Linked DNA regions of Arabidopsis thaliana. The protein of the gene in region 1 purifies or fractionates together with the protein of each later gene. This does not show direct contact. Each region holds a gene or a part of one and is shown on either strand. Other genes may lie near its edges.

Evidence for each region. Proteins that work in one complex are often made in the same cells at the same time.
Region 2: the proteins of FAC1 (region 1) and STL2P fractionate together in Arabidopsis thaliana (co-fractionation; one study listed by BioGRID). This does not show direct contact.

The regions. Positions count from the first base shown.
Region 1 is NC_003071.7:16,032,803-16,041,394, forward strand, and holds FAC1 (AMP deaminase, putative / myoadenylate deaminase), read right to left. Parts: upstream 6,171-8,592; 5' UTR 5,992-6,170; coding exon 5,637-5,991; intron 5,530-5,636; coding exon 5,339-5,529; intron 5,255-5,338; coding exon 5,089-5,254; intron 4,756-5,088; coding exon 4,577-4,755; intron 4,500-4,576; coding exon 4,448-4,499; intron 4,330-4,447; coding exon 4,202-4,329; intron 4,122-4,201; coding exon 3,942-4,121; intron 3,859-3,941; coding exon 3,791-3,858; intron 3,597-3,790; coding exon 3,454-3,596; intron 3,353-3,453; coding exon 3,291-3,352; intron 2,823-3,290; coding exon 2,709-2,822; intron 2,575-2,708; coding exon 2,434-2,574; intron 2,338-2,433; coding exon 2,185-2,337; intron 2,105-2,184; coding exon 2,051-2,104; intron 1,970-2,050; coding exon 1,859-1,969; intron 1,786-1,858; coding exon 1,612-1,785; intron 1,389-1,611; coding exon 1,308-1,388; intron 1,216-1,307; coding exon 1,117-1,215; intron 1,034-1,116; coding exon 965-1,033; 3' UTR 925-964; and 3 more. Other genes in the region: CXIP2 (CAX-interacting protein 2), read right to left, coding at 1-252; AMT2 (ammonium transporter 2), read right to left, coding at 6,870-7,304, 7,472-7,575, 7,714-7,999. UniProt on the Arabidopsis thaliana protein: AMP deaminase plays a critical role in energy metabolism. Essential for the transition from zygote to embryo.
Region 2 is NC_003071.7:210,902-216,455, reverse strand, and holds STL2P (SEC12P-like 2 protein), read left to right. Parts: upstream 1-1,982; 5' UTR 1,983-2,020; coding exon 2,021-2,299; intron 2,300-2,409; coding exon 2,410-2,504; intron 2,505-2,672; coding exon 2,673-2,817; intron 2,818-2,909; coding exon 2,910-3,001; intron 3,002-3,134; coding exon 3,135-3,231; intron 3,232-3,326; coding exon 3,327-3,402; intron 3,403-3,494; coding exon 3,495-3,615; intron 3,616-3,699; coding exon 3,700-3,816; intron 3,817-3,977; coding exon 3,978-4,045; intron 4,046-4,149; coding exon 4,150-4,241; 3' UTR 4,242-4,543; downstream 4,544-5,554. Other genes in the region: AT2G01460 (P-loop containing nucleoside triphosphate hydrolases superfamily protein), read right to left, coding at 4,691-4,756, 4,845-4,964, 5,054-5,167, 5,266-5,363, 5,481-5,539. UniProt on the Arabidopsis thaliana protein: Required for the formation or budding of transport vesicles from the ER.

The DNA of each region.
Region 1 (8,592 bases):
CGGGATTGAATCAGCCTCTGTGATTGGAAGCAGCTCCGTCTCCGTTAGAGATTTGACGGCGGAGGCGATAAAGAAGGAACGACGACGAGACGGAGCTGTGTCACGGAGTGTGAAGGAGAGAGATGGGAAGGAGAAGGATGGTGTGAAGCGTGAATAGAGGGTGATCACAGGGGTATTTCGAGAAACATGTGGACGAACAACACGCGGAGAGGCTGAGGCGTGCAAGGAGGAAGAAATGGTGATTGCAGCCATTTTTGTCGGAGCTGAGAAAAGTTATCGGTGGAAAATGATGAGCTCTTTTATTTGACATAGGATTTTATCCATTGGGCCTGAATTGGACTGTTATTAAGGCCTTATGATACTTGGGTTTTAAATACCATAATTCGGAAAAGTGGGACCCGCTTTAGTTTCTTTTTTCTTACACATTCCATACTTCAGTCTGTTATGAAACAAAAGGAACATTTGTCTAGTTCACTTCATGATCAAGCCAAATCTACCAATGTGACCCAAAAACATGTGTTTAATCCGGTAAACAGATCTCAGTATGGTTTAAAACAGAACCAAAACAAACAAACAAAATTGGATTTCGAACATAATGCTATTTCTGATTAAAAATTGAATCTGAATCCAAGTTAAAACAGTATGTAATCCAAAAACTGAAATCCATTATATTAAAACCGGTTCTCAACTGGTCTCTTTGTATCTCATTATCTAAAAAGCTTTATAAAACAATAAGATTTTGGCACAGCCTAATCGCTTTCTCAGGGCACAGAGCCACTCATATTATTACCCTATCTACTAGGTTCCTGCTTTCGTATACTTCTCAAAATGCTCTCTTTGTTCCCCTGCAATCTGAAATTCAATCATTGACATCATAAGAAAATGTTGTAACAGAAGTGATAAGATCATTGAGTTGTTACATACATGTTGGATTCTTACGTCTTGCCATTTCTGATTGTGGTTTTTATGGAACAACTTCATCAGAGATAACAGCCTTGCCCAGATAAACCTGTTGCATCTCCTCTTTCCAGATCTGCATCAACTTCATATTTTTAATTTGTTTTCCTACAAAGAGAAATTAACTTGTGTGAAGAATAAATATATTTCATTCCATACCGTGTCACGGAACTCCACCCTTATGTGTGGCACGTTTGTTTTGTGAATGTCGTTTCCATCAGGTCCTCTTTTGTAGTAATCTTTTCCAATCCAGTGCGACTGGAACATCTCAACAAGTTAGTATTATTAGTAGATCGGAACAGAGACATCTTGTTCATTCATACTATGGGCCATGTTGATATAACAAGTACCTTCAGGGCGTGTGAGAAACCTGACTGGTACACTGAGTTACGAGCTATCTCGCACAGGTCACACGCACTCAGCTTCCAAACCTGAAAAATCCAGTTATCATCTTCAGTTAATACATAAATATAACTAAAACCTAGAAGAAAAGGATGTATAGAGAGAAATTTCATTGTTCTTCGTGTTTGCAATTGCAGAAGATCAGTATAAATCATTTAAAGGTAATAACTAATAAGACTTTTAAAAATATAATCAACTTTTCAAGGCCTATGATGTGTGGCAAGACTGCATAATGGAAAGATTATGACTTACTGATGCAGCTATGCTATACTCTTCCACGAGAGGTTCTTTAGTTAAGTGAATCTGAAGGGGGTCATCAGTAGACAGAGAAACATTGAGACCTCTTAAGAAAAACACAGGAAACGGGTTCCGGTGGTAATCTAGAAACAAAGAGTTGTTGCTCAGTGGTGACATGGCCAGACCAATCTGTCAAAAGAAATGTCTTCTTAGAACAGAAACAATAATACATATGTAATACATGCAGGCAGTCTCCACAAACCTGGGCGAGGTAGTACAGATACTGAAGCACAGGAGACTTTCGCAGATTGATTCCATGTGCGATGCTATGGCATGTTAGAAACGTAGCAGCCAAGTGGTCAATGTCACCAGCCTGAAATTTGTAGACATGTTAAAATTCCACTGAACTGTAACTGAAAACTGTTTATCTAGCACAAAGGAAGAAATAACACACCTCTCCAGAATGTGGTCGTAGCGTGATAGTAGTCATGCCCTTTGACTCTCGAAGCTGAAGAAAAATAGTTACTCCATATTACACAGTTTTGAGAACACCAAGTTAGTTACAGAAGCGACTAAGAGGAATGGTACCTTATTTAACACATAGAGGTTAGCATAACAATAGTAGACATAATACGAAAATGCAGGATTGAATGCGTTAGTCCATTGAGCTGGAGTGGGCATGTGTTTTGTGGGACGTCTTTCAGGTTTGCTTTCATCATCAACCAAATCAAATCCAACAACCTGAAATAGCAAACAAGAGACAGCAACCAGTCAAACCAACTCTTTATTGTGTAAAGACATGCGGATTAGAGGTTATTTGAAGATATGAATGCTAACCTGCTTCAAAAAAACATGGAGCTGAGGATGGGAATCAGGATCTACCGTGGCTTCAAACAGAGGAATGAATATATTGTCCAGGATATTCTGGAACGATGTCACAATACCCATGTCCTTGTAAATGTTGTACAAGCGTGGGAGCTAGTGAGCAGACAAACAGAAAACAAGGAAAATATAGCTCAGTTAGCAGTCATGTTACAAACACACGGAGACAAAAAAAACACATACACTCATGGAAGGACATGGAGCACACAAGTATCAAAGAGATGGCTAACCTGAATTAACCAGACAACATTCTCACTGTATAGATCATTGTTCACAATCCAACTAGCGAGTTGGTCCCACTCGCTCATTTTTCTGCCATATATAGATATTCTGTATTCAGCCATCTGCAGTGTTCAACGTAGACATCAGGAAAAACAAAACAGAGCAATTATGGATCTGCTTTGGCAAGAAGATTTCTTGACACAGAATTTGAGCAATGCCATGATGTTTTTTGGAACTCAAGTCAATGCGCATATGTGAGGGAGTGTGAGTTTGATATGGTTACTGAGACTAAAATCCAAGGATTTTACTACTATATCTTTTCCTAATATAACAAATGAGTTAAAGTTTAATGCAGCTATAAAGCATATGCAACAAGAAATAGCAAGCTTTGCATTTGTAAGGGGGAATAGGAGGAGATCCATTACCAAATCCTAAGTCTCTATGTATTCCCAGTAAATCATTATATCAAAAGCTTAGTTAGAATGGATTTGATTCTAACAGTGTTCCTCTCTTATAATGTTCGTTCTAAATGCATAAGACCACTGCAGTTGATCAAGAATAAAAATAACAAAGATGCATGTGGCGTTTACCTGATATTTACTAGCTTCAAGGTCAGAGAAGACTTGCTTTGTTATCTCACCAAGAAATCGACCTTAAACCAAACGAAAATAAATGTCAGGCAACTGAGAGTGCATAACTGATGCATCAAATGAACTAAAAACGGTAATAAGAGTGACTGGAGTATTCAATTACCTTGGATGAGATTATCCTGTTTAAGGAAAATCTCCCTAAGCCTACTTTGACCACAAGGGTTATACTTTAGGTTGAACTTATCAAAACGATGAAAGGTACTTTTGTCTGCATGAACATCCAAAAGGTCGACGTTCAGGTCATATCTGTGCAATGTTCAAACAAAGGGAAAAAGGTTAATTTCTTCGGTGTCATGGTAAAAATGGTAAAAAATGCAATACAGGCAATCTGCGGTGCGCAACAACTAGGAGGCTCCTAAGAGGGTAATCTAATAGTCTTGCAGCCATCAGATTCAGATAGAGTTAAGTTGGGAATTCTAAGAAGTTGGAAATGTAATTACCCAGTCAGATCCAGGCTCTCAAAAACTTCTCTCAAGGTCAAATATGTTCCATCTCGGAATATTACAACCTGTATAAAGGAGCAAGAAATTATCATATCTGCATATCAGCAAATTGTATACTATCCTAAAACATATAGTTTGCCATTGTTACCTCATCGGGTTCTTTCCGGAGCTTTGACTTAATAAACCTTAAAAGGTGTTTCTGGTTCATGCAAGCTGAATGATGCACATGAGTGTCGACTTTCCTAACGTTATAAAAATCACGATGTGGTGCACTTTTTTGAGCAAGAAATTCTTTATCCGCATTAAGCATCAAATGGAGATTAAATTTCTGAAACAAAAAATAGACATACTGTTAACAAGACGAAACTTGCTTATTGACATTCATTCTTCTCTAAATAAAACTCTTGCCTGTTCTAGGAGCACTAGTCGACGGTGGCACAAAGTCCGGATGTTTCCTGCAGCTATGACTTTGAGTACGTGATGCAAGTCAGTGAAAAACGCTGTGGCATCAGCTACCGGGAAGAGATCTTCTTTTGCTGGGAATTATGAAACAGAAGAAGGGTCAGTTATTCGAAAAGCAAAAGAATGCAACCAAATCAACTATTATGAGTAAAGGAAAAAGAAGCATTAGAATTTTAATACTAGGACTCTTACCATCTTTATTTGCAAACACGTGGACAACCCCATCTTGCATCTCAAAACAATGCTGTAAAAACAAAGATTGGGAAGTTTAATTCATCAATGCATGGTGTTTGATGACATATATAAGGAGTATAGACTCACATCAGATTTTCCCTGAGGATAGTGTGCAAATGGCTCTGTATTAGGCTTTGGAGTACTAGGATCAGATATGACTTCTTTTTCCCATGGTGCAACTGTTTCTTGGAAGACATACCTCTTCCGCAGTTCAAGACATTCTTGCAGACATTTATAGGCTTCAACTTCATCGGACGTTGGCACCTCTAAACAGATCATGAGTAAAATATGAATAAGATATGTGTTGACGTCTTAACCGTTTCAAGCTATAATTCTTAAACTATAATCTAAGAATTTCAATGGCTCAGCTCCCACACTGAGTAAAGCCTTAACTGACCCTTGCTTCTCTTACTCAAGACTACTTATTTAATTGTCCGTAACTCCACTTAATTACTTGCCACTAGCAAAAAACTTTTCAAGTAGTGGGACTTATAAAACAAACATGTCATGATTTGTAACAATAGGAAAAGAGTACTAAGCATACAGGAACCAGAAGTAAGGCAAGATGACAGAACGAAACAAAAAGTGACCATTCTTACCAAGAGGAACATTAAGACGGACAAAGGTCTCTTGCTCTGGCTCCTTACGAAGAATGTCAGCAGCAATAGGATCAGGCTGAACTCCATGTAAGTCACCAGACACACTATGGGATCGAATCATACTTGAAGCAGCCATAGATATTTGTTCTTCATTAGCATCTGCAGGCTGCAAAAAACATCTTACTTGTAAACCCACCTATTCAATCACAGAACAGGGATTGAAAAAGTAATGATAAATAAAGAAACTCACCATCTCATTGTCACCATTAGCTTGCAAGTAGGAAGCATCTAAACCCTCACTATTAGTCAAATTATCATCATCATCTGATTCTTCCACACTCTCAAAAGCACTAGCACTAGCAACAGGGGATTTCGGAGATATTGGTCTAACAAAGCTTCCAGTTTTCCTGATACTACTAGCTCCATGTACAGAAGCTCTCCCTGAAAAAAAGCAATCACAAACTATCTATCAGCATCATCAAAGGATTAAAGGATCAATTTTTATAATCCACAATCTAATCTGATCAATTCAGGTTTGGTTCTCATACCTTCAGATGGCGTATGAAGCCTAGGGAGACCAGGAGGAATTTCATCGACATAAACGTGACCGTTGCTCCGTCCTGTATCACCGCCGCCGCCGCCGCCACCATCGGTAAAAGGAGTGGCATCTGGAAGAGAAGCAGGACTGCGACCATATTGGTCATTAACCTTCCTTCTAACTTGGCTCCGCCGCCTCACCAAGGTCGGATTTTGAGGCTCGTCTCCATCAGGGTTCTCTTTACGCTCCTTACCACGCTCAAGGACTAGATTCAGTGCCTTGAAATGCATGAAAAACCCAGAAACAGCAACGAAGGAAGCTCCGAATAGAGCCGCGAGGGCAAGTTGGTAAATATTGGGTTCCATGAGTGACACAATCAAAATCTCTGTGTGTGTGCTCAGGTCAGAACTCAGAAGAGAGAGTAAGACCACGATTTCGTTTTAGTGGCGATGGTGGGAGGTCGAGGTTGAGTTGTTATTTATAGGCCCAACGAGTGAAACCACGCCACTTGCAAAAAGGCTGGGTCTTTGATAAAAGTTGAAACCTTTATGGCTAAAAACTAAAAGTGCTGATAATTATAGGGGCAGAGTTTTATAGACAAATAATTTCTTCATTAGTGTTCAATTATTTCAGACACCAATTTTTGTTTTTATCTGTCCAATTTTTTTATTTTATTTTATGTTTGCTTTTATACGTGAAAGTGAAAACTCTTCATATTTTTTAGTTTGTTCAAATAAAAAATCATTTTCATAAATATTGTACAAAATATAAAACGGAAGAAAGTTCTTCATTAAACATTAACACATCAAAATCCCTAAGAAATAAGGGAATTAAGGTTAACACTATCATTTTAAGAAAACTAGGTGTTGGGCCTTTGGCACTAAATATCAAGAGAACTATGGGTCTAATGTTAGCTCGAGTCCAGATTACATGGTCTCAGTCTCATGCTTTTCTTTTTTATTTGTGGCCCAAGGAAAAAGTGATTAAGGAAATTACTTATTAGCCAAATGACTTGAGGAAATTACTTTAACTGAATTTAAAATGGTTACAAGGTACATTTGTTCACGAACTCTATGTTTTCATTTCAACAAAATCACAAATGGTTGTTAACTCCAAATACACACCAAAAAATATGAAAAGTGAAGTTTTACCACCTATACAGAACACAAATAACTCATTCACATCTCTAATGTCATAAGGAAATCAATACACAAAAAATAAATAAGAAAAAGAAGAAGAAAAATCATAGAACAATGGTGACACCTCTAGCACCATGAACATAAGAAGGATGAGCAGCTTCTTGATCTCTCTCAAACTGTTGCACATGCCTTGTAGCATCAAACTTCTCTCCATCTCCCCAAAGAGCATAAGCTTCTTCCCCATGTGCTGCGTCGTCTCCAATCCCGAGCTCTTCCTCAGCCATTCTCAATGGTATGAACACCCTAATAGCGAGTAGAATGATAGTAGTCGACACCACATTCCAGACGGCAATGAAGGCAGCTCCAGCCAACTGTTTCAAAAGCTGTTTGCCGCCATTGCCACCGTAGAAAGCTCCTCTGGTCGCTGGGAGAGGAAGTACCAAAACGCAGAGATCAGGGTGTGCAAACAACCCTGTCATTATTCCACCAAGTAAACCAGCCACGGCGTGTGTGTAAAACACCGCTAATGTATCATCCACCTGTTTATTTCAACCCAATCAAAATATTACAGTTCAAATCATTCGTTTGTTATTACTAATACCTTAATTCTACAATTGAAACATTTTCGTTTTTCTAATAAGGTAAAACATTTTTTTTTTTTTTTTGTTGGTTATGAAATTAAAATGGGATTTATGATCTAAATTACCTTTTGAAGGAGAGCGGATTTCTTGTGAATGATCATCATAGAGGCCCATGGAGCTGTTCCTGAGACTACTCCAATTATTATAGCTGCCCATGTTTGGATCAAACCTGCAATAGATATCTTATTTGTCAGTATAATAAATTAACAATGCAATATTAATAAGTTTCCACATAATTCAACCTTAATCATAAATAAACTTAGAGACTTAGAGTAAACAAAAAACTTGAAAAGAAGATGACTGAAACCTGCTCCGGGAGTGACGCCGGCTAAGCCAGTAACCATGCCTTGAATTGCTCCGATGACAGAAGGTTTGCCAAAGAAGATGACATCAAGTGTAGTCCATACAAGGAGGCTTGTGGCGGCCGAGAGGTTGGTGTTTAACACGGCGATAGAGGAGGTTAAGTTGGCCGCGTAAGGAGCACCACCGTTAAAACCGGACCATCCCATCCATAAAAGTCCAGCTCCAGCAAGCATTAGAAGAACATTGTTCGGTGGGAATCTCTCTCTGTCAGCCTTAGGCCTTGGTCCTACCTATAATAACATCATGTCAGAAAATCGTATTTCTCAACTAGCTAGTGTTTGCTTTTTAACTAACCATTTAATTTCATTTTCTTTTGCATGATTTTATATATTTACTATGTGGAATATTATGTCGTCGTCAGTGGAATTGACTTGACTTTTACCATTTTGCTTATGTGCGACAAAATGCAGAATACAAGAAAAACAAATTAATTAGTGTATACATATCTATAAGATATAAAATGCAAAAATGGAATCAACCTCAATTATTTTGTGAATTTACTATTAGGCAAAAATAGATATTTCAGTTGAGTGTGATCAATATTGGAGCGTTACTTTATTCGATTACTCTCCTCTAACTAAATTATCTAATTTGCTAATACAATATAGATCAAGATCGTGTTGTCAAATCCAAAATTGATTTGATTTAATTAATCTTAGTACTTGGAAATTAGTAACCTTTTGTTAGTGGACCAAACAATCATAGAACTTACTACTTATCTATAAACTATGGACCTTAAATACGTAATCATACCGAAAGAGAAAGCAAAACAAAACTTGGCAATTAAAGACCAGTCTACATCGAATTATTTCTTAAGAATTTT
Region 2 (5,554 bases), about 16 Mb from region 1:
AGAAACTAAAGATAAAAATAAAAAATTTGCCTTTTGATACTTAATTTTTTGGATTGTTTGTGTCTTGTAATCTTTTTCAATTTTTGATTTATTTGTGTGAGATATGGAAAATACCCGACAAGAACTCAACCAATTTCTTTTGTCATGTTTTGTATTATGAATAGATAATAATACAATTTGTAAATATATATGATGGTATATCTTCTGGTTACAATTTTTATCTATTTAAAATTGTGAATTATTCCTTTTGACGAAATTTTTTTTAACTATTAATGTCATATTGCAGGTCACAAATTTTATGATTATTTTTTATAAAATAATAATCGTTGGAAACAAATATATTTCAAATAGTTGCCAAAAAAAAAAAGTCAACATCTACGTATTTTATAAATGATTAGAATATCTTTATCATCTAAGTCTTATTCCAATAATGATTGTTTAATACAATTATTATTCGTATTCAATAATGTGATGAAAATAGTAAAAATATTAAATTAAAAATTAACAACTCCGAAGAGAAAGCCAACACGACAAGCAATGTTGATTCCATGCTCTATTTAGCTAATCTTGAAACGGCACGTATTTTTGGTAAGGAATTAGGGTGTAATTGTATTGATAACAATATTATAATTTTCTAAGCATGATTGCTTGTTAATACTATAATGCAGCCACATAATTTCATAGATCGAAAACAATTATTTTTCTAAGCATATTTAAATGTTGACTTGTGAGTTAATTAGTAGATTTAGATCTCCATCTTTGGATTACATTTTATACACAAAAAATATTTATTTAAATTTGGATACGTGGAAGCTTATGTATGTGGAAATTATTGTATAACTCTATAATCTAAAGATATGTTTTTTTTTTAAAAAACGTAGATATCATTTGTTTGATAAATATTTAGGGAGTTAATTAAACAGTATGAGAGTTTCACTAGCAATTAGCATGTGGTTGTGTTGCATGTGCAAACTGAGATGGATAGAGAGTGGTTGGCAACAGCGACACTATTTTATTTTTTTACTATATAAATGAAAAGATTCCTAAATTTAGTAAAATACTATATGTCATTTTATATATAGTTTTAGGAGATTTTCAATTGAGATATATGACCATGACAACAAGGCACTAATACTCTCTAGCATAGAAACAGTAATGAAAACGCGGAAGCGAAACGTTTCAGAAACGAGAATCGTTTTTTTCCACTTTTTGTGGTCATCATTGGAAACCTAAATTTTTTGTCGAGAAATGAAGATTTTTCGAAAGGGAAGAATGTCGTGATTTATAGTTAGTGACACTTGCAAGTTGCAATTTTTGTAATTTTCGTCGTAGTTTACAAACTATTTGATCTTCGAAATCTCACTACTTGAGTTTTATTCGTGTAGAGTTTTAACTTATATAAGTAGCACACTAAATACAAAGATATAAATCACAGAAAACGATTAGACATAAGATAAAGACAGTTATAAAAGGGCCAAATTTAAGGAGGAACAAAATGATGAGAAATAACAAAACTTTCAAATTTCAACAACATGTATCGAAACGAGTCACTGAAAAATTATTATTCCACCAAGAAACCCACTAGCTGACTCAGAGACTTCCTTTGCATTTTACTCGTGCAATGTACCAAGGATGTCCTCGTCCCGAAACAGATGATACCTACGTCAAAAATCACCAACACATCGATTTAAGAATTTTACACAACTATAGGGTGTTTTTAGATCAAATCAATAGTATTGGGGTGATAAATGAAAATATTATAAAAATTAAAGGATCCGGTATACGTACTCTTTCTCGCCGAGTTTGACCTCCGTACCGCCGTACTCTTTCCCGTCTCTATCCCGTGAACCGGGTCCAACCGCTATCACTTTACCGGAATTCAGCGATAAATGAAATATTATGATGGGCCTATAAATACTGTAATGGGCCTTAAGTTAGCCCATTAATATTTTTTTTTGTATTTAGTATTTTTACGAATCAGTGGGGACTTGGCATTGAGCTCGAGAGACAGACACGGAGGATGGCGAATCAGAGTACAGAGACGAATCAACCGTCGAATATGCAGACTTACGGTGTACCGATTTACGCCGCCGACTGGATTCCGGAGGTAGATGTCAGATCCAAAATCATAATGGATCCGGAGAAATCTGAAGATGATGATGAGTCGTCTTCTTCTTCTTCTTCTTCCCGGAGCTGCATCGTTTTGTCCGGCGGAGGCGGAGAGGGACGAAGTGGAATCTCTAATGTCATATTAATATGCCGTGTTGATCTAAACACCAATTCTCTCTCGGAACAACCTGTAAGTAGGAAAGGTTTTATATTCTGTTCTTATATGAGTGTATAGGAGCAGATCTTATGCATTTGCAAGGTTTTGTATTTCCTATAACTAGATCGGATACTTATTTTCAGCTGGGTAGGCTTGTGGTTGGCTCTGATCTGCCTTATCGGATGGCTGTTCATCCTCGGGAAGGTGGTCTTATTTGCGCGTTGCCTAACAGTTGCAAGTGAGTAATTCTCAATTCGATTTCAAATGAAAGCATATGATCTTGAAGTTTCTGTATACAAAGTCGTAGTGCATGAGATTTTAGAGAGAAGTTCTGTGAGTTTATGGTTTGGAGTAGAGAGAAATTTACAAGAGATGTGGTAATAAGTGATGTTCTCTTGATACACAGACTGTTTCATTGGGAAGACATTATGAGCCGAGAGGATAATCAGGCTGGTGAGTCGGAGGAAGTGATTAAAGAGTTAAGAGATGTTGGACAACAGTTGGCTCTGGCGTTTAATCCGGAGGGGTCTGTTCTTGCTGCTGGTGCGGAGGTAAAAAAAGGATCTTTGATGCAATCTCTTTTTAATAACAGAGACATAAAACGTTTAGTGGTTCTTATGCATTTTGTTTTGATGCAGTATAGGATGGGACTTTGAGGGTTTTTAAATGGCCTAGCATGAATACTTTACTTAATGAGTCCCAGGCTCATTCTTCAGTTAAATGCCTTACTTTCAGGTTTGCTTTCTCTTATCAAATAAGGGAAATACTTGCTATCCGAAAAGTGGTTCATTCTCTTGGATGACAAAGGAATCATCTTTGAACAGTGATTGTAAACAGATATCCTGATAATGATAATTTTCGTCTGCAGCGAAAGTGGTCAATTTCTTGTATCTCTTGGCGGTCCAGTTTGTCGAGTTTGGGACGTGAATGCTTCTGCTGCTGTTGCCAGTCTATCAAAAGAGAAGGTCAGTTGGAATTGGCTCTTAGTGTCTTTTCAACTTTACATACACACTTCCAACATTATTGTATTGGATCTGATGAGTTTGAATATTGAATGAAGGACGAGATGTTTGCCTCCTGTAGATTCTCTGTAGACAGTGCAGGCAATGAAGTTCTTTACATTGCTGCAAACACTGGTAAACTTATATTCTGACATTACAAGAATATTGAACTATAAATCCTTCCTTCTTGTCACTGCTAACGATTGAGGATTGATTTTTTTGCGTAGAACGTGGTGGGAGTATTATAACATGTGATACAAAATTATGGAAAAGAAAATGGTCGAAGCCTATAAAAAAGAACTCTATATCAGCTTTTAATGTCTCAGCTGATGGGAAGCTTCTTGCAATGTAAGTGTATCTGTCTTCTCACTTTTGGGACCAACAGATAAGGATGATACTGTTTTTGGTAGTCATAATATATTCTTAATGCAGAGGAACCCTTGAAGGAGATGTTTTAATACTTGAATCGACAAGAATGCAAACTATCCAAGTCGTCAAGAAAGCGCATCTTGGTTTGGTCACAGCACTGACTTTCTCTCCTGATTCAAGGTTTTTCTCTACTCATTGGGGCTCAAGTATTTACTCTAGAACTATTGATTCAATGGTTCCAAACAAGCAAATAGACATATACAAATTCTGAAGCAAAGAAAATGAAATCATTGAATGGTTCCAAACAAGCAGATAGATTGAATTTGGGTTTGGTTTTGCAGGGGATTAGTGTCGGTATCTTTTGACTCAAGGGCAAGGCTGACCATGATTGAACAAAAGGGGGACAAACGTACGTATATATTTATGGTTTCCCCTCTTGCTTCTCCATTTTAACAAAAGGGTTTCCAATAGAAAACTAAACTAAAATGTGGTTTTTCGATGATGCAATTGCAGCTGGAGTAAGGTGGTGGCTACTGGTTTTATTGATAGTGTTGCTATACGTGGTTGCATACTATTATATGAAGGCAAAGGGTATCATACCTTAGAAAGGCCTTTAAGTGACCACACAGGACGATACAGCGGAATGGCTTGTAACCAACATATCATACGATTACGCTTTGAGTTAGCTTTTTATGTTTGACATCTACCAGAAACTTGCTTGCTTTATATCAATAAAACATGTAAACTAACACTAAAACAGCAAAAGTTACAATTTGTTTCCTCTTTTTTTTTTTGTAGACATAGTAAACTAGAAAACTATTATCATATGATGGATCAGTAAGACTCTTTCAACACTTCATCAATCTTAAAGAACAGAAAATAAACATATGGTTTCAACTTTCATTGCAGCTTTTTTCATATTAAAACAATGATAGTTACAATGTCTGGAGACTATATATTGAATATTCCCACAGGTTAGTAACCTTTTTTCTTTTCTGCGATTAGATTATTTGGTAAAACTAAGAAATGAAGATTACCAGAGAAAAGATTTTAATTATTGACGCTTCCTTTGGTAGAGAGAGTAACCAACGAGCGCAGACATCAAAAATGTCCATAGTACCTGATTTCACCATATTGGTTACTTTTAATCATTGATATAAACATAATGTGATTAGTTTTTTTAAAGCACAATGATGTTGATATGATACCGTATTGATGGTGTGCCAACGTTCGAGTCGTTTAATTCTTGATTGCATATCTTCTAAAACGTTGTCTATGGAAGAACCATCTCTTCTTGGTGATGATTCCGACACACTGTTACTACTTCCCTTAAAGTCGTCAAAAAGGCATAGAAGAACCATTTTAGAGACAATAAACCTAGAATGAGATAAAGAGGATTGAGGAGACTTTTGATTACCTGCGATTGTATGAATTCCACAAGCTCTTGCAACCGCGCTGCTTGCTGTGTATGTATTCCACTTGAACTTCTCTGGACCGGTGGCAGTCTTTCCAACACTATTTGAAGGTAACTCTTCATTCAAGAAAACACAAAACGGAAAAAATATTGACTTATGTATATAATAGGTAAACGATGTTCGAACTAAAGTTGTCTCGAAAAAGAAGTGGAACCTTTGTTGTGTATGAACCATCTAGTTTGAGAGCTGAACCAGCAGCCGTCACTGCTTCTTTGTTAGCGCCTTTGATCTGTATGTATGGACTTGGCACATCTTGGAGATGATCAACCTCAATAAGAATCTTTAAAAGCTCAACCAAAAAAAAAAAAAATCGGCTTTCTAATCTCAAGAAGCTTGTTTTTCATTTTAAACTAATAGCAATGTGTATACTCACCTTTCCGTCTTGGTAAATGAAAGCAGAGGCTTCGATATATGCCACTGCTTGATACCTGAAACCAAGAATA